Nothobranchius furzeri: one gene and its partners. The protein of the gene in region 1 purifies or fractionates together with the protein of each later gene. This does not show direct contact. Links are inferred from orthologs where the notes say so. Each region holds a gene or a part of one and is shown in the gene's direction. Other genes may lie near its edges.

The links.
Region 2: the proteins of fbxl4 (region 1) and bnip4 purify together in Homo sapiens (affinity purification with western blotting; 4 studies listed by BioGRID, with this or other methods). This does not show direct contact. The link is inferred for Nothobranchius furzeri from reciprocal best matches to the Homo sapiens genes FBXL4 and BNIP3.
Region 3: the proteins of fbxl4 (region 1) and skp1 purify together in Homo sapiens (affinity purification with western blotting; 9 studies listed by BioGRID and IntAct, with this or other methods). This does not show direct contact. The link is inferred for Nothobranchius furzeri from reciprocal best matches to the Homo sapiens genes FBXL4 and SKP1.

The regions. Positions count from the first base shown.
Region 1 is NC_091745.1:52,310,725-52,319,300, reverse strand, and holds the start of fbxl4 (F-box/LRR-repeat protein 4), read left to right. Parts: upstream 1-4,351; 5' UTR 4,352-4,401; intron 4,402-4,449; exon of another isoform or gene 4,450-4,868; intron 4,869-6,342; 5' UTR 6,343-6,437; coding exon 6,438-6,934; intron 6,935-8,576. UniProt on the Homo sapiens protein: Substrate-recognition component of the mitochondria-localized SCF-FBXL4 ubiquitin E3 ligase complex that plays a role in the restriction of mitophagy by controlling the degradation of BNIP3 and NIX mitophagy receptors.
Region 2 is NC_091752.1:32,882,685-32,891,260, reverse strand, and holds the start of bnip4 (BCL2 interacting protein 4), read left to right. Parts: upstream 1-4,511; 5' UTR 4,512-4,663; coding exon 4,664-4,706; intron 4,707-4,980; coding exon 4,981-5,152; intron 5,153-5,232; coding exon 5,233-5,293; intron 5,294-8,576. UniProt on the Homo sapiens protein: Apoptosis-inducing protein that can overcome BCL2 suppression. May play a role in repartitioning calcium between the two major intracellular calcium stores in association with BCL2.
Region 3 is NC_091750.1:60,006,479-60,015,054, reverse strand, and holds the start of skp1 (S-phase kinase-associated protein 1), read left to right. Parts: upstream 1-2,666; 5' UTR 2,667-2,811; intron 2,812-3,404; 5' UTR 3,405-3,407; coding exon 3,408-3,504; intron 3,505-3,655; coding exon 3,656-3,729; intron 3,730-5,473; coding exon 5,474-5,617; intron 5,618-7,826; coding exon 7,827-7,967; intron 7,968-8,039; coding exon 8,040-8,075; 3' UTR 8,076-8,576. Other genes in the region: ppp2cab (serine/threonine-protein phosphatase 2A catalytic subunit alpha isoform), read left to right, coding at 1-40, 129-218, 304-465, 555-673, 758-830. UniProt on the Homo sapiens protein: Essential component of the SCF (SKP1-CUL1-F-box protein) ubiquitin ligase complex, which mediates the ubiquitination of proteins involved in cell cycle progression, signal transduction and transcription.

The DNA.
Region 1 (8,576 bases):
GCTTCTCTTCGCTATCTTAGCTGGGTTTTTCTTGCAGCAGTAATTATTTTGCAGATTCTGTCATGAGCCCTAGAAAGTTAAACTGCAATCAGATTTAAATACTCAGTTTTCTGGTGTCTGAATCAATTAGACTTTAAAGAGCTGAAGTTATACAAGAACTCCACTCTGAATGGTGATGAGATCTGTTTGAAAACATCTTTTCCAAATGTAGTCATTTGCATTGGTTCAGGCAGGCAGCGGTGTGCTAGAGTTGATTATGCACATGAGAGTCCCGTGCTTACAGCTCCTTTCACAGTTTAACATGAAATATATTATCTTTGTAGTTCATGGATAAATGTTGATATAAAAAATGTTGATGTTTTTTTGTTTACATTTGGTGATTTGTTTTACATTTAATCCAAGATGCATCTTCTACCTGTTGTGTAAATCGTTGCTCAAACCAACAGACATTCTGAATCTGTTGCTGCTTCACCCACAAATGCCGGTTGTGCAGAAGAAGTTGGAAAACTTGAGGTCTGATAGGTGTAAATCTTCTTTTTGCAGAATGTTCCAGACTAATTAGAATAACACAATTAAACTTAAGCAGTTTGCACCTTTCATGATGATTCAGATCAAGGAAAGTTTGTGATCAATCTATTGAAAAAAGTAAAGCTTCCAGAATAATTTTTCAGGTTCTAGTTTATAAACTATAAAATGGGATTGGATTCGATAATTTCTTTGTTATAACAAGACTCCTTGATAATAAATATTTTGCTATTGAAATTAATTGTTATTTCCTCCTGAATGAAGCCACGTCTGTAAGAAAATGCCTTTGTGGGTTGAGCTGATTAGTGGATAGCTCCAATGAAAAACTCAGCAAAAAGGTTTTAAAAATGAAGAAAAAACAAACATGATATTTTCACGACCTCATGAGAGGTTTTCCCTTGTCGACTGACCATTGTGTGTTTAAGGGAGAAAAGCAAAGACACTGTTCAATACAAGCAATAACTAGAATATCCTCTTTCTAGGCAAAAAAAATAAGTTAATAAATTTAAAAAAGAGGCGGGGCTGGGTGAGCAGACTTATTATTTTTCTGGCTTTTACCAGCTGGGGCATTGCACTGGGACAGTGGGTGTACCAGTGCATGGACAGGCATGTTAATGTGTGTGTGTCTTTTACGTGTATGTGTGCTGGCACTGATCTGCGCGTCCAGCCACATTTGCATCTGTGTGTGCACAGCCATGTGCATATATTATGGGTGGCACACTGGACCAGAACAGAGCTCTGACAGTAGCAGGGCTGCTGCTCATTGATGCCTGCCAGGAGGAGCTGACAGCAGCCTAGTCTGTCAATCACTGAGCACGCCGCTAGCTCCCTGTTCACATTAAACTATCTTGTTAACTCTAAATCTGTTTATACCCTTTTCATCTGAGTGTGATTTCAGCCTTTTTTCTCTCATGTGATGCAGTGTTTGCTGTGGGGGACAGTTTCAGTGGAGACCAAACAAGACAGATGTGAAAAGCTGGTATGGAAATGCTAAAGCCCCATTCCCACCTGTACCGGGTCGGCCCGGGCCGGGTAGCATAGGTTGTTTACATATCTGGGTGGCCTGGAATTTTCCCGGGCCAACCAAGGCTCATTCTCGGCCCTCTTCCCGAGGGGTACTGCTTCAGGCCGACCAGGGCCAACACACCCACTGCTGACAGCAAATTCACACCTTCCATTAGAGCAAGCCTCTGATTGGTGGGTAGAATCAGCCCATTCACACCTTCCATTAGAGCAAGCCTCTGATTGGTGGGTAGAATCAGCCCACATGGGCTTAAGGCAAGGATGTGTGGAATCAACCGGGCCAGGCTGGGGCCGACTGGGGCTACCCGGCCCGGGCCGACCCGGTACAGGTGGGAATGGGGCTTAAGAAACACGTGGTGCTGAACGAGGGATCTGTTCTTGCCAAAACAGGCCAAGCAGCAGTAGAAATAATGAATCCATGTCAAAGGGAAGTTATTCAATGGGAACAACTCAATGAAAAGTGAAATAACTTGGTTGCTTGTAATTCACAGACAAAATTTGGCTGATGTAGTTTACAGTTGTAACGTCCAGCAATGGTCAGTTTTTAGGTACAGTTTGACCCTTCAACATCTGGTCAAAATGGAGACACGAGACTGCACGTGTTCCCTTTATTCTGTCTGTCTTCATCCCATCAGCTGAAGCTCAGAGCCTCTCTGCAGCTCTGAACACACGATAACGTATTGCCAACAATGATGTTCTCTCCTCAAGGCTCAAGGCCTCGCTTATCGCCCTGCAGGATTCTTCGTGCCTCTGAATAAGTGAACACTCGCAGCTCGGATTAGTCGCTAAATCAAAGAATGATTTCTTAAATTAAATATGAACTTTTAAACTTGTAAGTTAAATAATCATTAAATAAACATTTGTTTATTGCTACTTATAATATTTTTATAACATAATGAAATGTTTTCATTAATCTGTGCTTGAGTGATTGAAGTTTGAAATGAATGTTATGTTATGATTACAGTGATTGATATATGTTTCAGCATGTTAATATGACAAAGTCATCACCATTTGCACTCACACAAGGACAAAGTAAGGTTAAGTTAAACTCATGACACATAGATAGTCCTTTACCCCAGATCAGAGCATCCAGATCCAAGAAGGCGTGTTTCTGAGTTGTCTTGCTAACATTCCTCAACTTGTCAACCTCTGGTTGGCTACACAAATCATAACATGAGAACATTAAAACTGGATCTCTCTGGTGATTCATCAGTTCTTGAGAAAAGCTTCAGACCGGCCATCTGAAGCAACACCTCTCTAACCCATTAAAGCTTTTGACACGTCGTCAAAATCTTTTTGCACCTGCGAAGCTGATACAGCAAACGGTTCCTGCAGAACAAGATGATATTGTTCAGACTCCTTCAGAGTCTGCCAGACGTGCAGTTCCATCCATCTGTCATGACCCGAGACATCTCTGGACTGAAATGTCGGTGCTAGAGTATTCTACAGCCCTTGGTGCCAGAGGTCATCTGACCTCTCTGACCTTTGGATCCATGAAGAGGGTCTCCGAGAAGGGGTGAAGTAGACACACAGATTGCGTCTGATGTGTTTTGATAATAATCAACATCTTAGCTTAACACAAAACAAATTCTTTACACCCAGAACCCAGCTCTCCTAGGTATGGAAGTTCTGATAACATCACATTCACACATAGGCACCATACACTACACCTGCTTCATCTAGATCCATCCACTCAGAGTAAATGCTAGTTAACCTGTTATGTTTTAATTGTTTGTAAAATAAATTCTTACTTTTATAAACCTGACTTTTTTCTGAATCAAAACGAAGTGTGTACAATCCCTGAATAAAACAAAGAATACTAGAATCTTCTGATTAAACACGGTAAAGACCAAGTAGGTTGATATTCTATATTTATATAGAGTATCACTACTTATTGGTCATTAGTAGAGGTAATATATATATTGAGCTCTTAAAGCACTCAATTTCTCAAACCCTACACAGTGAATGTGTTTTCATCTCTAAGAATATCCAAGCAGCTCCAAAGTTGATGCCATGCGAGAGTTTTTACTGAAAGGTAATAATCTTCTGTCACTCACAATCGATGCCTGCTAATAAGAGCTGGACTCATTGGTTTTATGCTGTTGTGTGGAAAGGCTGGGTCATTTTGGTTTTAGTGCATAGCAGAAACAGAATGGCTTGACAATGTAAATACAATGCTGGATGTGAAGCTGAATGATCCGTGTGAGTCTTAGTTATCAAGGAGTTGAAATCTGCATGTTTGAGTGGGGAATAAATGCATTCTTAGAATAAGTTCAGCATTCAGTTCAAATACCGGTAATTAGGTCTAGCACATTTTAACAGACACGCAATTAATCCCAAAATTTGCCAAACATAATTATGCAAAATGTTGGTCTTACACCATCTTTTAACTGCAATTCAAACTTAAATTAGTCGTACGCCTTTTATAAATTATAACCTGGTATTGTATTTGTTCTATGTCATCATCATTGAATGTGTGTAGGGTCTATGAACAGTCCTGTACTTTTGTTGATATATTGTTCAACTAAAGTTTATTTCAGCTAGTTAACAATAACAAGGAAATAAAATAATCTAAACACTGAACTGTGTATTTTGGTTAACATGACCATTATTGTGTTTAGATTCACTTGTTGAAAATAAAAATAAATAAACTGGGTTAAAAATAGTAAATATATATTTTTTGTTAAGTTACAGTCATTGATTGTATAATATACACACACGTAGGTTGCATTTCAAGTAGTTAAAAAATGTACTTCCTGTTTCTGATTTCAATGAAATACTATTCCCATAATGCTTTGCGTTTAGAGAACAACGAGCACACGCGATAAACGTGTGGCCTTTAAGGGAGCTACGGTACGTAACTTGGAAACAGTAGACGTTTTTATTGTATATTATTTGACTTTTTACTCAGTTTCAAATGAGATACATAGCTTATGTTTCTAAGAGTTCCTCTAAATAATATTTAAACTTATCCGTGTAATTGTAATTGATGGTGATTAGTTTCAACAGTATTACAAAGGAGAACAAGCAGTAACACTGAAATGACCGCTTTCGTTATCCCCTTTAGAGTCAAGGTTAGTCATATGGTGCTATCTTTTGCTTCATTATTCATGCTGAAATCGGATTTAAAATCGAATGACATGATTTGTGTTTGGTTGATTATGTTTATCAAACGTTTGACAATGTCCGATTGCTTCTGAAGGCAACACGAAATAAACGACTGACTGGAAGGCATTATTTGCGGTCAGAAATACCCTGATCAAGCCTCATGATAGAGGAAGATCGCTTCTCATGAATGGATATATCGACCTGCCTTTAACGTAATTTTTATTTATATGCCGTCGCTTAAATTTGGTGTTTTATAGCTAACTAGTGGTAACTAACAGTTCATGCTTTGACAGCCTAGCTAGGCTAGCTAGCATAACATTAGCTCACACACTTAAACAGCTGATATCTGTGGGAGACCCTCTGCCATCTGACTAGTTTATTTAACTATTAGCTGTTTTAGTGTTTGTTCTTCACTTGGATAAAGTAACAAAACCTAACTGCCCTCAGAAAATAACATCACCTTAACTATATTGAATCACAATTTTCGTACTAACCTTTTTTTTTACTCCAATCACACTCCTGTGTGATTCTTATCTATGTGTGTGTGTGTGTAAGGTCACCAGTTAAAATTTAACTAATGTTGTTAAACAGTTATAAAACATCACCAGCTTTAGTAAGTAGTAATTGTCTAGTGTTTGGTTTATTATTTTATTGAAAAAGCTTCCCCCCTTATTGTTAAACTACAGGTTATGACGAGTAGAATCAGTCAGGTTTGTCTCGAGTTTATTCAAAACCCTGCGGAATACAAGTTAGCTTTAAGGTCAATTGTGGCATTTACAAAATATATGTATATATTATAGATGGGAACACACTTAAAATCTCGTGTTGAGGGGGTGTCAAAGGTAAATGCATTTAGTTCTCACCCCTTTTTGGGTTGGATTCATCACACAAACCGCTGCAAGCTTTTGCTCATTTGGGCTTTTGAGTCTAGTTTATTTTACAGAAATAAATAAAATAGTTTTATTCATTTTGCAGAACAGACCACTTCTACTAAAATTGCCAACCTAACTACTTGATTTCTATTCTACTGAATTTTTCTGAGTTACATTATCAAATCTTAGACATCCGTTTTCTTTTCTGATCTGCAGTTTAGATTCCACAAAAGTAAAAACATCGGTGACACTCGTAATCATTTTAAAAGCGTTTAATGAGAATACAGATTTTTCAAATGTAAAATTACGGGTTTAATGTGGAACTAGGAAATGACTTTTTCTGTACTACCGGTGGTAATGGTCTTTTTGTACTAAATAGAATGTACTAGTCCCATGTTGTTCAGAAGAGTTTCTTAATAGAAGCAGTTTGAGAGTTCCTTTTAATGGGAGTTTTTTTTTTGCATGAAATCACATAAATGCTTAGCTAAATAAGTAATACAGCTCTGGCAAAACATCATGCTTTTGACACTAAAGTTTTATAAACTCTACTCATTTTTGCATCTGGATTTAATAAAAGTTTGACTGACAGAACATTCTGAACAAATTTTGCTACAGATGTAAATTTAAACTTAAAATGTGCAAAGCCTCCATTTCTGCTAAAAACAATATTGCCTGACATTGTATTTCTTTTTTTTTTTTAACTTATTTTCAGAGTTTTATGACCTGGTTTATCTCAGGGCCAAGCAGGTTTTGTGTTCTCTCAGACTTGATGTTTTGCTCTTCTCACTTTTGTTTGTCTCTGCCTAACCCACAGGTCATGCATGCAGCCAGGCTACTAACCAACCCAGAGACGATGTGCTAGTTGGAGGCTCTTCCTCCGTCTAAGCTCAGCTTCTCCCGTCTGCCCCCATGTTAACCCTCTTGAGCATGTTTTACTATATCTGTCTGCGGCGGCGCTCCAGGAGCGGGACTCGAGGCGAGGCTCTGACCAGTCGGCGCGCCGTGGAATCCGGTCAGCGGGCGGTGCTACCAGTAAGTGTGGAGGTGAAGCAGTACGCCAAGGAGGTCCTGGACTTCAGCTCCCACTATGGTAGTGAGAATAGCATGTCCTACACCATGTGGAACCTGGCTGGGGTGCCCAACGTGTACCCCAGCTCAGGGGACTTCACCCAGACAGCTGTATTCAGAGCTTATGGAACCTGGTGGGAGCAGTGTGCCAGTGCCCCACTACCTTTCCGACGTACCCCAAAAGATTTTTACAGCCAGGATTATGTTGAGCTGGGCTTTGAGGAACCGGTCTACCCAACAGCCGTGGAGGTGTTTGAGACTTACTACCCTGGAGCCATTGTCCAGATCATGGCCTGCTCGCACAACCCATTATCACAGAACCCACCCACCGATGTTAGGTAACAAACACATTGATGCTTCTTTTGTCAGCGCACTATATATACATACATACATACATACATATATATATATATATATATATATATATATATATATATATATGTATATATATATACATATATACATATATACATATATATATATATGTATATATATGTATATATATATATATATATATATGTATATATATATACATATATACATATATACATATATATATATATATATATATATATATATATATATATATATATATATATATATAATAGTACACCCCGCTACATTTGTCAGAAAACCTTTAGTTTCCTTTCAGAATAAACATTTTCTATAAGGCACCATACTACAAAACACTCCACAAATATGGCCCATTGATTACAAACAAGGTTTGTTTATTTTCACACACAAAAAAAGTGATTTTCCTAAGAAGTCTATTCAAGCCCATGTTGCAAAAATGAGTACACCCCAATTATAGTCTTAGGAGAAAAGCCACACTTAAGACTACAACTTCTAATAAACAGGTATCAAACCACAGGCGAGTCTAGTGATTCATCTAAGAGGTGTCCAGCAGACAGGTGACTATAAACGGGCATTACTTAAAGAAAAGCCCTTCCCATTTCATGCTGTCAGCAATGGCTGCACATGGAAGAGAAATGTCAGAAAATCAGAGAAAGAAAATAATTTCTTTACACCAAAATGGTCAAGGCTACAAGAAGATCAGCAAAGCTTTACATATCAGTCACAATACTTTAGCAAAGGTCATCCAAACATTTAACCTTCGGGCCAGAACATCGGGACAAGCAAGTAAGAACGATGAAAGTGCGACTATCTTACAGAGACGTCCAGACCGTCCACAGAAGTTAACATCTCGACAAGGGTGTCTTCTGATGAGAAGGGTTGAAGAGAATCGTCATGCAAGTTTGCTGCAGTTAGCTAAAGCAGTAGAAAGCCAAACTGGAGTGACCATTTCCCGTGACACCATCTGGCGCACACTGCAGAGGACTGGCATGAGAAGATGCTGTCATCACTACGTGCACTTGGTCGTTTTGCACTTTTCCAACACGACACTGATCCAAAACATCTAAAGCTACTTTTGCATTTCTGAAGGAGAACAGGGGGAAGGTTACTGAATGTCCAAGTCTGTCTCCTGATCTGAACCCAATCCAACACCTGTGGGGAATTCTGAAGCAGCAAGTTGAGCATCACACTCCGTCCAGCTTCCAGGCTCTAAAACAGGTTATTCTTGAAGATTGGAAAAAGATAGATGTTGCAATATGTCGCCAACTTGTCCATTCCATGCTTAAAAGACTCGGTGATGTTTTTAAAAATCATGGTGGTCATACAAAATACTAGATGTAGTAGTTTTTATTGTGGGGTGTATTCATTTATACTTCAACCAATTTTAGTAAAACTGAAGATTTAGTGATCTAAGTTATATTATTAACCTTAGCTTCATGTTATGGAGTTAAACAAGTGTTCAATAAAACCCAGCCTTGGGAAACTTCTGGAAATTGCCCTTTTGTTCATTGAGCTGCTGATTCAATTTGTACATTTTAAGGAGGGTGTACTCATTTATGATGATCAGTGTGTGTATGTATGTATATATACGGTCCTTCTCAAAAAATTAGCATATTGTGATAAAGC
Region 2 (8,576 bases), on another chromosome or scaffold:
ATGAACTCAGGTACGTCCTCTGGTTCAGACATCATAATTCCACATTAGGTTTATTATGTTGTCTGCACTACTGATCATATCTGATGCTCTCAGCTTCCTCTACACACGAGTCCTTTGGGTGATGCCAACACATATCTGCTGCTTTTTCTGATAAAATGTCCAAGCTGTCATCTAGTTTCATTTCTTCCAGTACTTAGAATACCAAAAGTAAACTTTCTTTAACCTAAGTAGTCAAATTTAAAGTAAATGATGGACACCATTATCTTCAAGATCATGAGTGTGTTTAATGTTCAGGGGTCTCATTTATCAAACATTGCGTAGAATCCTTACTAAAACCATACTTAAGCTAAAAAAATATATACATACGCCAAGTAGGTTTGTGAGCTATCAAACATGGAGTGCGCACAGCTGCACGCAATCTCCGCTTCATAAATCAGAAACTATCTAGAAAGGTTCTCAGCTGCTTTTTAGTCACATCCCGCCCTCACCACGCCCACTTACTGCCATAAATAGTGCAAAGTGCCTTGTGGACCTCATGCATATACATAAGCCGACTGTTGCAGCGCTCCGCCAATGACGATGGTGACCATAAATCAAGGCAGATCAAGGAAGTGCAATTTCACAGAAGCAGAAATTGAAATCTGTGGGTGAGGTGGAGAAATGAAAGGAAGTACTTTTGCAAAACAAATAAGAGAAAATCCACGGAGTGGCACAGTGTTGCTGAAGCCGTCAATGTTGTGAATTCTTCAGAGAGATCTGTGGCGAATATAAGAAAATGGTCCAATTAGAATTTGATCTCCAGACTCACAGGTGAAAGTCATGCACGCTAACCAGTCACCCAAACAGAGATCTCCCTTGTCCAAGTAGCCAGGGCGCATCATCAATCGGGTCACAGTGACAGGACACACACTGTCACAGACGCATGACATTCTGTCTCAATCTGTCCCCCTGCTGATATTCTGCATTCCGTATTCTGCGCTTCAGGCTGTGTGTGTGTGTGTGTGTGTGTGTGTGTGTGTGTGTGTGTGTGTGTGTGTGTGTGTGTGTGTGTGTGTGTGTGTGTGTGTGTGTGTGTGTGTTTGAGTATGTGCGTGTGTGCGTGTGGGGGGTCTTGTTCTGTGTGAAAACGAAGCAGTACAAGTGATAATGCTGCAGGATTTCATGATTGTATCCTTCTCAGCAGGAGCACTGCAGGTGCTCTCCATGTCCAACATGTGGGTAAGCAAGGTCCTTAGTCAACTTAAAGTTGTGCACATATTTCCGCTAAGTTTTCTTTCATAAATCCCAAAGTTTGCATGGAAAGTTGCTTATGCAGTTTTCCGACCCTGTTTTGTGCGTAAGCAAGCTTGATAAATGAGGCCCCATTCTGTTTAGTTTATTGTATCTTTTATCCAGTTCATTTCAAGGTGCAGTGTTACAAAGGCCCATCTGTACAATTTCTCAGGTAAAAATAAAATTTCTTTTTAACAATCATGTCAACATTTGATTCACAACATTTTATGATCATTCTTTGCTTTTGGTCTTTAAAAGTTCTGGAGGGTGCTTGGAAGTTCACCCAACCGATTTAGAGACAGCGTTCAACTGTGTCCCTTCTGATATGGGCTTTTAGGTCCCTGTATGAATGGTGTCAGAGCTTGGTCCGCATTGCTGGCAACAACTTGTGCTCATTCTCAGTGAGAGTTGGACTCTGCCAAGGCTGTCCTTTGTCAACAGTTCTGTTCATAACTTGACAGGATTTCTAGGGATTTCTAGGGGATCTGTTTTGGTGGCCTAAGGATCAGATCTCTGCTTTTTGCAGATGATGTGGTCCTGTTGGCTTCATCAGAATGGCTTAAACCTAATATTTGCAGCCGAGTTTGAAGCAGCTGAGATTAGAATCAGATCCTCTAAATCAGAGACCGTGGTCTTGAGTCGGAAAAGGGTAGAATGCCTTCTCCGGGTCAGGGATGAGGTCCTGCTTCATGTGGAAGAGTTTAAGTATCTTGGGATCTTTTTTACGAGTGAGGGAAATATGGATTGGTGCTGCGTCTGCTGTGGGCCTTGTACCAATTTGTTGTGGTGAAGAGAGAGCTGAGTCAGAAGGCAAATCTCTCAATTTACTGCTTGATCTACATTCCTACCCTCACTTATGGTCACAAGCTTTGGGTAGTGACCGAAAGAATGAGATCGCGGGTACAAGCGACAACATTCTTTTGTGTATTCTGAAATGGGCTCTCCCTTGGAGATAGGGTGAGAAGCTTGGTCATATGAGAGGGACTTGGAGTACATTCGCTGCTCCTCCACATTGAAAGGAGCCAGTTGAAGTGGCTAAGGCATCTAGTCAGGATGCCTCCTGGACTCCTCCCTGGTGAGGTTTTCTGGGCATGTCCAACCAGGAGGAGACCCCAGGGAAGCCAAAGAACATGCCGGAGGGTCTACGTCTCACGGCTGGCCAGGGAACGCCTAAGGATTCCCCCGGAGGAGCTATCCCAAGTGGCTGGGGAGAGGGAAGTCTGGATTTCTGTGCTTAGGCTGCTGCCCCGCGACCCGACACCAGATTAGTGGCTGAAAATGGATGGATCTTCAATTAAAACTAACTTTTAAATCACACCAGTGGTCTTGTGTTATATAGTTATATGAACTTTGAAAACGACTTGTGCTTCTCATGGCTGAATTACATGGTTTTGCCAACTTTCTGTGTCACACTTTTTTGTGCTGCTGTTTGTTTGCGTCCTTGTTTTTTGGAATAATTTTGAAAGCTCTGCGTCTTCCACATAAGTTGTTTCCTGCCTGGGAGGAGAAGACATCCCACAATAATAAGCTTGCCTGTATTGTCGAAATAATAAAATTTTGAAAGAATAATCAGTCACAATAATCTCCATGGGAGGAAAATAATTAAATTTGCCAGTTTCAAATTTGGACTCGCCTATGCAAGAAGTAATGAGCAAAGATGAAGTGTTTTACTGCATCCAATTACAGCTACTGTTTGCCACTTTTGTGTTTCATAGGAATCAGATTAAAACATGATACACGGACCTTAGGTATTGAAAAAAGTGATGTGTACACTGATCAGGGCACCATGAGTCAGGGTCTGCTCAGTCTGTCAAAACAGAACCTTTCAAATGCACGAAAGAAATGATGACAGACATGTGCAAACGTATTCACATCAACATTTTTCATGTTTTTAAATCATTTTATTGAGCCAGTATGTGCTAAAATTACCCTTTACATGGTAATGGAATGTCACTCACACCCCCACCGCCCCTTCTGGCCAGAATATTGCACTTGCAACTTCAGAGTTGCTGGTCTGGTCCCTGTTGGGCTTAATAAAGTAGAGCTGACATGCTAGCCCTGCAGTCTGCTTCCAGCAAGTTTCCTGCATGTTTTAAATCGTGAACACAGCAGGTTTGTTTGATTTAGTGATGAACCACACTTGTAGATTAATGAAGGCTGAGGAGACATTTCAGCTGTTAAAGTGTTAAAAAGCCAACATGACGAGATAAGTTTCACTTTTGGTTTTTTACCAACGGACACAAGGGGACACAAGCCAAAACTGCTTGGGGTTAAAAAGGTCTCTGTTGAAGTTGTAGTATCAATTCAAAAGTACTGGTTTCAAAACAAATTAAATGCATAAAAATACAAGTAATGTAAATGACAAAAAAAAAGCCCAATATTGACAAAAGCTTAAGCTGTGCCATTCCACACCTGCACCCCAATAATATTGTTATATTAAAGGCCATGATGACTATATTGCTTTAGAAAAATGTTAATGTTGACAATTTTGGGATACACTACTAGGCTATCTGTTTCAGCCCTTTGAAAATTCATCCATTTCTATGCAATGCACGTTTCATGGGTTGGACTAGTTGTAAGTATTGTAATTGTGTAACAAGTCCAAATTTAAAAGGCATATTATCAATAATTATTATTGGAATGCAGCCGTATACTGTATTTATTAGTTCTGTCAACAATATGAACCATATAAGAACATACTTTTGTTCAACAATAAATCCAAAAAAGTAAAAAAAAAATAAAATAAAAATAGAAACGAAGTACAAAATGAGCAGAGATGAAGAAAAATGAGACTACATGTAATGAGACGATGAAATGGAAAATATCACAGAGCGTTGCAAAAAAAAAAGCTCAAATACTTTTAAAATACAAAATCTAAAAATACTATAACTGCATTTTGTGCTTTTTGAGTTTGTCTTCTTTTTCTTTTATACATCAGATTCCATGGACAAACATGAGTTCATAGAAGTTTTTAATTCTTATCTCAGACTTTTCTTTTGATGGTCTGGTCCCACCGGTACAGAAATTATCGGACACTGGTGAACTTTTGCTGCCACCTGCAGACAAGTGAGTAAAAACCAGTTCAAAGTCTAACTTCAGTATAAAATTAGCAGACGCCACATATTAATTATTATTTCAGTATTAACTATTCAATTAATGTGATATTTCATCTTAAATATATTATAATTAAAGGGTTTCAGATGGACCGCTCGGTGGTGTGCGCATGCGCACTCTCTCGGCCTGGGTGCATTGCTTTCTGAGCCAATCCAAATTTAGATAAACACAATATTACGTCATTGTTATTGTGTCCAAGCTCCAGCTGCTGCTTTCGGGCATTTCGCTTCCGTTAGACCTAATAATAGTGTAAACGTATAACATATTAATCAGCGAAATGTCGCATCGGAAGGACATTGCTTTGGACGAGAGTTTACAAGGTAAAGTTTCTGAAAAACCACGAGAAAAAACTAGCATAAACTAGCTAACGTAACCCTGGCTAAAGGTGGAGAAAAGTGAATGCTAAAAGGTTTAATAGCTTATGAAAAATGAGTGTTGTACAAGATATATGTGAAAAAACACTTCATAGGAGCTTTAGGGGATGAAATGTTCAGATAAAGACAGTGAGTGATGACGTCTGATTATTGTTGTCCTTCAAAGCTGTTTATCTCAACACCCTAATGGCTGACAGGCATGGCGTGTGTTTATTTAAAGGTTCGTGGGTTGAGCTGCACTTTAACGGGACTGGCTCTCAAGGTTCTGGTCATCGGGGAAGCCAAGAACAAATCCCCGGGTCCGTCCAGGAGGGCGACGTGGAGAAAATGCTGCTGGAAGCTCAACGTGAGTCAGGCAGGAACAGCTCCAAGGGAAGCTCTCAGTGTAACAGGTCTGTGAGAAAGGGGGAAGAGCTGTTGGTGTGTAATAGCTAGTTATTCATATAAAGTGTATCTTTTGTCTCAACCACAGCCCTCTGAGACCACAGACCCCCCTTCTACTCTGGAGAGGCTCAGAGGGAAACAGCTCACAGGTCAGTTGCCAACTGTTTTTGACTGAAAGCAGCTGAAGTCCCCCCCAACCGCTAGATGTCGCCAGATGACGTCACGTGTTTATTTACATATTGATGGCGTCATCACGCCACATTGGCGTTCATTTTCCCCATAGCATCTAAAAGATGTATATATATGTATATATATATATATGTGTATATATATGTATATATGTTTATATATATATGTATATATATATATATATATATATATATATATATATATATGTGTATATATATGTATATATATACATATATATATATACATATATATACATCTTGTAGATGCTATGGGGAAAATTAACGCTATCCATGCTACTGCTGTCTATCCAATATATATACATATATATATACATATATATACATCTTTTAGATGCTATGGGGAAAATTAACGCTATCCATGCTACTGCTGTCTATCCATGCTACTGTTCGACTTGTATCTGTAAGTCTTCACCTGTTTGTTAAGCTAATGTAATGGTTACATTGTCTGTATGCACGCTAAGCCGCGCTGCATTTATTTACCCATTTTATCGCATTGCTTAGCTTTGGTCTTCAGCCCATGCTGCTGCTTCACGCTGCCGTTAGCTTCCGCTCACTGAGCTTTGTATGTCGCCGCAGGGCTCCTTCATCCTTGTCAATAAAACCATTTGACATCGAGGAGTGTATTTCTTCATGAAGGAGCCAGATATAAGTCGAACAGTAGCATGGATAGACAGCAGTGTGATGGTTGAGCAGCAGTAATCCAAATGAGAAGCAGCAGTATGTACAGTGAGGGGTCCTCACATGTACGTGACTTCAGGCACGTCTGTGAATACACCTTTTTTCCTCGAGGCTTGATTGCAGCACACCCTAGTGGCCAGTGGTGACCTCTGCACTTTGTTGCTAATCTGTGGGGAATATCTACAAGAAAGTTCTACAGAAAGTAGAAAAGGGTCCTGAGAAATGTCTCTAGGTTTGTTGCTAGGCACTTTTTGGGAAAAAAAAGTCGTTGAGGGGGGTCAAAAAGTCGTTAGGAACAGAGACACAGTCGCTGAGTTGGCAACACTGTCACAGGTTGTTCATAGTTGTTATATTCTCTCTCTCTCTCTCTCTCTCTCTCTCTCTCTCTCTCTCTCTCTCTCTCTCTCTCTCTCTCTCTCTCTCTCTCTCTCTCTCTCTCTCTCTCTCTCACCCCCACACCCCCACACAAACACACACATTGCTTTAACAGTACTAAAGGCAAAGGTGTATTATTAATTGATGTAATCCACCATAGAAGCTTTATTCCCATTGTGCAACCGAATTAAACAAAAATAGGTTTCTGTATGCACGTATTGAACCGTCACCTTATCGTGGTGGAGGAGTTTAAGTGCCCTAATGGTCCTAGGAGCTATGTTGTCTGGGGCACTTTGTGCCCCTGGTAGGGTCTCCCATGACAAATTGGTCTTAGGTGAAGGGTGAGACAAAGAACAGTTCAGAGGATCTTTCGTGGATATACAATCAAAGAGTCGGGGTACCCGGCCCGGAAGGATACCGGGGTCCCACCCTGGAGCCAGGCCTGGGGTTGGGGCCCGTGAGCGAGCACCTGGTGGCCAGGCTTTCGCCCATGGGGCCCGGCCGGGCCCAGCCCGAACCGCATACATGGGCTCATCCAACTATGGACCCACCACCCGCAGGAGGAACATGAAGGGTCCGGTGTAGTGTGGATCGGGTGGCAGACCGAGGCGGGATCCTTGGCGGTCCGATCCTCGGACAACGAAACTGGTTTTTGGGACATGGAACATCACTTCGCTGGTGGGGAAGGAGCAGGAGCTTGTGGCAGAGGTTGAGCGGTACCGGCTAGATATAGTCGGACTCACCTTGACACATAGCATTGGCTCTGGAACCCAAGTCCTTGAGAGGGGTTGGACACTCTCCTTTGCTGGAGTTACTCTGGGTGAGAGGCGGAGGGCTGGTGTTGGCTTTTTGTTAGCCCCAAGACTCTTTGCCTGTGTGTTGGGGTTTACCCCGGGTAGCTTCCCTACGCCTTCGGGTCGGGGAACGGGTCCTGACTGTTGTTTGTGCTTATGGGTCAAATATCAGCTCAGAGTACCCACCCTTTTTGGAGTCCCGGGGTCGAGTGCTAGATAGTGCTCCATCAGGGGACTCCATTGTCCTGCTGGGGGACTTCAATGCTCACGTGGGCAATGACAGCATGACCTGGAGTGGTGTGATTGGGAGGAACGGCCCGCCTAATCTGAGCTCGAGTGGTGTTTCGTTATTGGACTTCTGTGCAAGCCGCAGTTTGGCCATAACAAACACCATGTTCGAACATAAGGATGCCCATTCGTTACACTTGGTACCAGGGCAGCCTAGGTCGCAGGTCGATGACAGACTTTGTAGTTGTATCATCTGACCTGCGGCCGTATGTTTTGGACACCCGAGTGAAGAGAGGAGAGGACTGGAGCTGTCAACTGATCACCACCTGGTGGTGAGTTGGATCAGATGTCAGGGGAAGATGCAGCGTAGACCTGGCAGACCCATACGCATAGTGAGGGTCTGCTGGGAACGCCTGGCAGAAGAACCTGTCAAGACGGTCTTCAACTCCCACCTCCGACAGAGCTTTGACCGCAGTGGGGGACATTGACCCCGAGTGGGCCTTGTTCCACTCTGCGATTGTTGAGGCGGCTGTTGCTAGCTGTGGTCGCTAGGTGGCCGGTGCCAGTCGTGGTGGCAACCCCCGTACCCGCTGGTGGACACCAGAGGTTCGGGGAGCCGTCAGGCTGAAGAAGGAGGCCTACTGGGCGTGGCTGGTCTGTGGGTCTCCGGAGGCAGCTGACAGGTACCAGAGTGTCAAGCAGGGTGCAGCAGTAGTAGTTGCCGAGGCAAAATCTCGGGTGTGGGAGGAATTTGGTGAGGCCATGGAGAAAGACTATCGATCGGCTCCAAAGAGGTTCTGGCAAACTGTCCGGCGCCTCAGGAGAGGAAGGCAGCAACTCGCTCACACTGTTTACAGTGGGGATGGGGAGCTGCTAACGTCAACTGGGGCTATAGTCGCTCGGTGTAAGGAAGACTTTGAGGAGCTCCTCAATCCCACCTACTCGCATTCCGAGGAGGAACCAGAGCCGGGAGACCTGGGGATGGACTGTCCAATCTTGGGGGCAGAAGTTGCTGAGGTAATCAAACAACTACACAGCGGCGGAGCCCTGGGGGCGGATGAGATTCATCCTGGGTATCTCGAGGCTATGGATGTTGTAGGGCTGTCATGGTTGACACGTCTCCGCAACATTGAGTGGTCATCGGGGGC
Region 3 (8,576 bases), on another chromosome or scaffold:
GTTCGATTACCTCCCCCTCACTGCGCTGGTAGACTCTCAGGTGAGAGGAGCGTAATAAAAAAGACCGAACTTGACGTTTCTTTGAAAAGCATCATAATTTGTTATAATTATCGATTTTTTTTCCTCAGATTTTCTGCCTCCACGGGGGCTTATCACCGTCTATAGACACGCTGGATCACATCAGAGCTCTGGATCGTTTACAGGAAGTGCCGCACGAGGTAAAGAAAGACGTTAAATGTGGTGCAGATCAGCAACGAAACAATAAAGATAAAAACGTTTGTGACCATTCTCGTTGTCACGCAGGGTCCCATGTGCGACCTGCTGTGGTCAGACCCCGACGACCGCGGCGGCTGGGGCATCTCTCCCCGAGGAGCTGGCTACACATTTGGTCAGGACATCTCTGAAACGTTCAACCACGCCAACCGCCTCACGCTGGTGTCCCGCGCCCATCAGCTGGTCATGGAGGTTTGTCTTTGTGTCCAAAGATGATTAAAAACAAAGAAGCAGTGCCGCTAAGTTCAGATGCGTGTTAATATTACATCTGCTTACCTCAGGGCTACAACTGGTGCCATGAGAGGAACGTGGTGACCATTTTTAGTGCTCCTAACTACTGCTATCGCTGTGGAAACCAGGCAGCCATCATGGAGCTAGACGACACCCTCAAATACTCTTTGTAAGCAGGCGAATTTCATCACGAGTGGACAAAGAAATCTTAGAATAAGTTGTGATTTTTTTTCTTCCTGATGTTCCTCCTCAGCTTGCAGTTTGATCCAGCGCCTCGCAGAGGAGAGCCCCATGTAACTCGCCGCACCCCAGACTACTTCTTGTAAACCTGCAGTCTCGACCCGCGCACGGTCCGGTCCGGTCCTGTCCAGAACCACCAACCTATCTGACTTTGAACTGAAAACAACGTGATGGAGGCCTGAGAGGCTGCAGTGTTGCACGTTGTGTTTATCCAATCTAGTTAAAGCATTTCGCAAAAGCAAATGTGTCTATAAACGGACCAAAAGGTGTGTGCCATGATCACTTAAATATTTATTGTATCTGAAATGACAAAATAGAACATCCTGGATGTCTCGGCTCCTCCTCCTGTACATATGGAGCTGGGTTGACGGCACCAAAGTCCAAGACTAATTTGCTACTGCAGACCATGGTTTTTGAGATTTGAATGTGATTTGTTTGCACTTTTGTACAGTTAAAGAAATGTTAAATATGTCAAAAAGATTAATACGATTTCACGATATTGATAGTTTTTTTGTTGTTTATTTTTAAATTGCATGTAAACCTTCAGTTTTTTTTGACCTGTGTATGTTTTAGGAAAATCCCTTCTCATGCAGTCAGATGGCTTGGTTTATAGAAAAGATGGAGTGTTCATCAACTCACCTGCTTCCTTTTAGCTTCAGACTCTATAATAACCTACTAGAATAATAAAGATGACTTCTTGAATTGTGTTTTTGGTTATTCTTCATTCTTGTAAAAAGTCTAGTTATATTTGGATTTCTCTGGCCAGTTGTAATTACACTGACACAGCAAGGCGAAGACATAAAAAATACATTTATTTAAATGTGAATTTAAATTATTGTGCTCCATAATATTAGATTGTATTGAGAACAGAAGTATCAATTGCCCAAAACAAGCAAACTTAATGTTGAGAATTGTGTTATTTCAAATAAAAGGCGCATAAATGCAATTTTATTAAGTTTTTCCAGAGCAATCTAAGCCAGCCTGGATCCTGCTGGAAACAAGTCGCATCTGCCGGAAAAAAGGGGAAATACGCCACCCTGTGGTTGTGAATAGGCACGACACCACACATAGACAATCGCAGGCACTGACCCTAGTGCTTCCTGTTATCTCTTCACAAAGTGTAACTAATAAATTAGACTTACACATTTTCAAAAATAAATATATTTAAATTTAATATTTTTAAATATTATTTTGTATTTGATATATGACATAAATTTTTCTTACCGCACCACCATGCCATATACAATAAATGAATGATTTGTGTAGTCTGTTGTCAAAAGGAGTCATGTACTTTAAATTGTTATTGGTACACTGACAGAGAGATTTATAATGAAAGATACACATAGAAAGTGATCATTTTATTTTTATTAAAAAAAATAGAATAGCACAAGACAAGTCACTGTTATCACAAAAGAGCTTATTTGTTCCATGTAGACAAAGTATTTGTCTTTTTATAACACAAATTCTGATTTAAAATCAAAGTGGTTCGAGATGAGACAATCAAAATAAAATCTGAGCTAGGTAAACAAGAAGCGATGCTGACTGGTAGCCACCGCCACGATTTGAGCTCGGCCCTGCTGTGCTCCCTTCATTAGCACATGTTGTTAAGGGAAGCCAATTTATCATATAAAATCGGAATTGTACTGGGGTTGTTTAAAGGAAATCGGCACTTGCTTGCTTTTAAGTGTTGTTAAGTATCTACCTTACTAAATATACACTGTGGGACAAGACAACTGGTATTTACCATCGACATATACGTATTTACGTTTAATAGCTTATGTTTGGCACGTTTTGATCACCTTACTTTATAATGTATTCTGCAAGAATTAAATAATATCACGGTTTAACTTGTACAGACATTTTAAATGTAATTAATGAAAATGCTGTTTTGTTTAGAACAAATAAAAAAATTGTAGGGCATTAACATGATTATATGTTACAACGGATTGCCATACAGCGGAAAAGGTTGATCCAGAGGCTTTTAGCCGCTGTTCGTCACTTAAAGTCTAGGCCTTCCAACGGACTCCTAAGGATATATAACCTTTGAGTTTTTGTTAAATAATCACGGTATGTAGCTTCATGTTCTGGTGACCTGATAAAGTTAGGTTTAAATAGATTTTCACGTCAGGTTTATGCGTCAATTTGAAACGCCTCGATGATGTAGCAAAGAGGCCTAGCTGACAGCAAAGAGCTGGCGAAACGAAGAGTCAAGATTTAAGCTTTGTGACATACATTTTAGACACAATTGATTGTCTCGCCTGTGATTAACATGTATTTGTTTACCATTATTTGTAATAGCGAACATCTTTCAATGTATTTTTCTTTTAAGCACACGGAAACTAGCTAACTTTAGCATTTCCGTCTTGTAGCTTGTGTCATCGTTAGCTTGGGCATTAGCGCTTCTCAAATAAATTAGATTTACAACAGGTGGTATTTATTCAGTATGAACACACAAGTGCATCTGGCAAGTCTTATGATAGGTATTATTTATCAAATCAATAGCTTTTGTTTATACAAAGAGCTAATTGTATGTTAGCTTTTCGTTAGCTTGTTGTTTGCTAGCTTAGTTTGGTAATTGAGACAATTCGTCGCGGATTACGTCTGCTATTGTCGCAAAATTAGCAGTAAATGCACTGAATGAATATTATTGTTCATTCCAGAAAATGCCCACGATAAAACTACAGAGTTCTGATGGGGAAATTTTCGAGGTAGACGTTGAGATAGCCAAACAATCCGTCACCATCAAGACCATGTTGGAAGGTAAAATGTTCTGTTCATTTCAAACGTTCAAACTTGATTTTGTGAGTTTATAACTGACGTAAAAAGAGTTATCAGTTTTTTTAATTAACAGTAAAGATCGTTTGGGTTGAGGCTGAATTTTAACGTTTTTTTTTTTTGTGTGTGTGGTCAGACTTGGGAATGGACGATGAAGGAGATGATGACCCAGTTCCCCTTCCTAATGTGAACGCGGCTATCCTGAAGAAGGTACAGAACGCACAGCTGTCACAATGACAACAGCAGAGTCATCAGATTTGTTTCACATCAGTCGATGGGAGAAAAGTGATTGGTTTTTATTTGATTTCTGGATTTCACCGTGACAGTTGGGTATACCGCAATAGTTGACTAATCGTGTCATTCAAAAAAAAAACTATAGGTTATTGCACCAGGCTGCTCTAATATACCCATCATTAGCTTCTAGTTTGAAGTTTAATCCGTTATGTGCCATCTAATAATAAACTTTTAATTAACTTCATAACTTATTAATACAAATGCTACAGTCAAATGGAGGTAGGCACCTAAAACCAAAAATAAATTGTCTACAAAAAATTACTTGTGTTCGCAAAATGTATTCTAATCTTAACTCAGGAAATAGCAGGGCACATCAAGGTGCGCCTCTGTAGCATGGCTGGTACACCCGTCAGCAGTCAGGGGATCATCGACAGCTTTGAGGGTCTGCTTTATTGTAAAGATATTAAATTTAGTTTATTTACCAAATTAATAATTCTGTTATAAAACAAAGTAGATTAAAATTCAACACATGTAAACTGTATTATGCACCAATATTAGGTTCCTGATTGCTCAGTCAGCAACCTTTTTATTTGATCATAAAACACATTAAATTCCAATAATTATTTGTGTCCAGAGAGAAAGAGACTAAGACTTGAACACGCGCGCACACCTTAAAGGTTGTTTCGTATTTCTTTTCCATCATGCTGGTGAATGGGCATCAGCCTGGTAGGTAGTTGTCGTGGTATCCTTGATCATCTTTTTGAAACCTCGATCACCGACCATGGACAGGAGTCTCATGACCAACATGGTCAGGACGTTAGCTTGCTGAGGTGTTCACGTAACCAACTCGTCCATTGAAGAGGAGCATTTTTATTAACACTGTAGCGTAGCGGGATGAAATCATTATCGTTTGTAATTGGAGCAAAAATACGTGACATACAAACGTGATCTAATGGTAATAAAAATAGCCACCGCTACTGCTGTTGCTACACCTATAACTACAAGTAACTCTCTGTTGATGCTAGCAGCTAAAGAGGTAAACTTAGAGAGGCGACTCTTTATTCTCTGCCATGACGTGCTTCCTTGTAAGGTGCTCATGCATCGCCGATGTGCTCCCGTGAAAGGAGAGTTTCCCTTTGCAGAGTTTGCACTATGTGCTTTCCTTAGTCTATGTATAATACTCCAAAACTTTTGAGCTATGTTGCCGACTCGCTATGTCTTCTTTCTCCGGTGACGAAGGCTGATCTGGATGGCCACTACTGCGAATGCGCCTCGGAGCTGAAAACAGCCACTGACCCGGATGGGGACTAATGCGCATGTGCATTGAGCAGAAAGTCAGGAAGCAACCGCCGAATGTGCCGCAGCAGGCGAGATTAAAATTAATGGTCACAGAATAAATAATGCATCCACTATTAAATTAGTAGTCGAGTATTTTGTTTGTTGATGTTGTGACGAGTCGACTAATCATGGCAGCCCTATATAACTTATTAAGAGGATGCTCAGTCTGTCTTTGTTATGTTCTGTCCTGCCAAATCAACTGACACGCTCCTTTAATCCAGATAAAGGTAAAACTGTACGTGTAGATGCACCTCAGCAGAAGATCTCAAAATTCCTTCATCACGGGGGAATGTTGTGCACATGTTTCTGTCTGCGTAAATCTTAACACGAATGTATAAAATTATGTAGTTTCAGTTAAGAATAAACATGTTTTCCCCTTTAGGTGATTCAGTGGTGCACTCATCACAAAGATGATCCTCCTCCTCCCGAGGATGATGAGAACAAAGAGAAAAGGACGGACGACATTCCCGTCTGGGACCAGGAGTTCCTCAAAGTGGACCAAGGCACCTTGTTTGAACTCATTCTGGTAAATATGTTTCATTAAACATTATTCTTATTTTGCTGCTAAATGCGTTAGCTACATTGAAATTGATGCTTTTCCCGCACCCCTTAAACAGATTTTCACCCCTCAGCAGAATTCTTAACTCTTGAGGTTGAATCAACTGGAAAAAATGTCCTCTCTGTTTTTAGGTCATTATTAGAAGTTTGGGTCAGGCAAAACCAGAAAAGTTGTTGTTTTTGCAAATATTACACATAGTTTATAGTTCTGCTACAAATTCTGATTGGCAGCCGACCTCTTCGCCGCAGCTCTCCATAACACTCAGCCTAAAATGCGCTCACTGTAAACATTACTATAAATAAAATAAGTGTTTAAAAAGGCAACTTATTTTGTATTGTACAGCTATAATTATTCATGTGAACTGATTTGAAATGTAGTTTATAAGAGGAGCTTGGAGACGTTAGCGATCCACTTGTGTTTGGATTAGCTTTAGCACATCATTAGTTAAAACGTAAACACTTTCTTCAAACTGAGGCTCTTCAGGAAGCTGTCTACAAGAAGTAAGATAAAAACTGATGTGTTACACAGAAACACGTCAGAATGTCCCAAAGCCCCATGAATATGTTCTTCAAACGATATAAGTGCTTGTTTTCTCTTAACTCCGATCCAGATCTTTATTTACACCCGTTACTTCAAACGTCCTCGTTTGATGATTATTTTAAAAAAAATTTTTTTTGTCAAGTTTTGTGTAATTGGGTATTCTGTAGGGATGGACAATATAACGGTATCGGCTGATGTTAGCTATTTTTTAACATATCTGTTCAATAAAGAAAACCAGGCCAATATTAACAACCGATATTTTTCCATCTTGTCCCCATTTGTTTGCCTGTTTCAGAGGGTGATGTGTAATTTAGTCTTGTGAACAGTGAATGAAATCATTTCAGAACCATAAATGTGTGTGGTGTGTGTACATAATAATGTAAATCCAGCTTTAATAATTTATAATTTTCATTCTATACAAAATCTGCTGATTTTAGAAGCATTAATGCCAGTATATCGATATCGACCAATATCGGTATCGGCACAAAAAATTTCATATCGCCGATATATGATATCGGTGCATCACTAGTATTCTGTCTAGGGATGTCCCATTCCGATATCAGAAGCAATTCATTATCGGCCCAAAAACACTATTGGATTATATCGGACTGCATCATAAATCTCCAATATAAGCAGTTTGTTAAGGTTCACATTTTTGCGACCAGTGGTTTAAAAAAAGGGTCAAATTTTTTTTCATACTTACTGTTATTGGCTCTTGTTCTCCGATTGAGTAATATCACTTCATCAAGCCTTTCATACATTCCACACTACGGAATAGGTAAAAGTATGATTTGTGCTGGTATCGTATTGAAATCGGTGTCGTATCGGGACATCCCTAATTCTGTCTTTTTTGTGGTCTGATTTGATCACCAAAAACACAAATGTTGCTTAGCAACATCTAGTAAAAGAGACAGATGCTGATTTTAAGTTGTATAAAAAGTTCCTTGTTAATGAAGTGGAAGCAGATTTGGATAATGCAGGGTATCCGCAGGTCCTTAAAAAGTCTTACATTTACTTTTCCAAATTTAAGGCCTTGAAAATCCTTAAAAATGACAAATGATCCTTAAATACAGTTTCCAAAGGTCTTAAATTACCAAAGACCCAATAAACTAGATTATTTCATTTCTATGACATTTTCGTGAATTTCCAGTTAGTGTTCAGCATTTTTTGTGTACAATGTTGGCGTAAGCGGAACCGTACACATTCAGTTGGTTGTGAAAGGGGGCTAGTTTTAGATGAGCACATTAGCTGATTAAGCTAGTGGGAGCTTACGCCATGGAGAAGTGCAAGTTTAATGGTAATTGGATGGCTAATCCCACGTTCGCGATGTGGTTAGCACCGGTTCCAGGCAATAGCTGGAAATTATAGCAGAAATTGAATTTTAAAATATAGCTTAAATTTGGTCAAAGTGGCCTTAAAAAGGTCTTAAAAAGTCTTAAATTTGACTCCCTTAAACCTGCAGTTACCCTGTAATAGTTCTGTATTTAACATGCTAACGCTAACTGGCCCAGCTTTACTGATGTAAAACTTTTATTCATAGTTCCTATATTAGACATTAAAGTTACTTATTCATCAGAGGCATTTGTGCCATCTCACAGCATCTTCCACATCCGAATGTCATTTATTTTCTGTTCAGGCCGCCAACTATTTGGACATCAAAGGCCTGTTAGACGTCACTTGCAAGACGGTGGCCAATATGATCAAAGGCAAAACCCCAGAGGAGATCAGGAAGACGTTCAACATCAAAAACGATTTCACGGAGGAGGAGGAAGCCCAGGTAAAAAAAAAAAAAGTCCTCAAAAGTGATGCTCAAGGAAAACAAAGCTTTTAAACTGCTTTTTGTCCACAGGTACGCAAAGAGAACCAGTGGTGTGAAGAAAAGTAAAAGGGAAGATGCTGCCAACACTACCACACTGAAACGATCTGTAACTGGTTGCACTGGCGATGTTCATACTTGTTAATATTTTAGTATAATTACCATCCCCCAGCTTATTATTTCTGTGTACCAATAAAAGCATGAACATTTAATTCTGACCTGTATGGTGTCATTAATTTAAAGCTGAAACGCTTGTTACCGTTTCCACTCATGAATATAATTATATTCATGGTTTCATGGCTTTGTATTTCCCTCTAAAACATAAAAAGCTACATTTTTCGTATCCTTGTTCTTTTTTCTATGGCAATGTTTTCTTTTAGATAATTAAACAACCTTCACTTTTTTGCCGATGGAAACAGGAGGGTGAATTGTTTTTGCTCTGTAAATGTATCGGTTTTGTGAACTTGTGTATAAAAATGAGCAGTTTGAAGGCGGAACGATGTCCATCATGCAGAGCGAGTTCCAGATTCATGTTTTGACACTGGAAACTTTGAGGAAATCCACATTGAA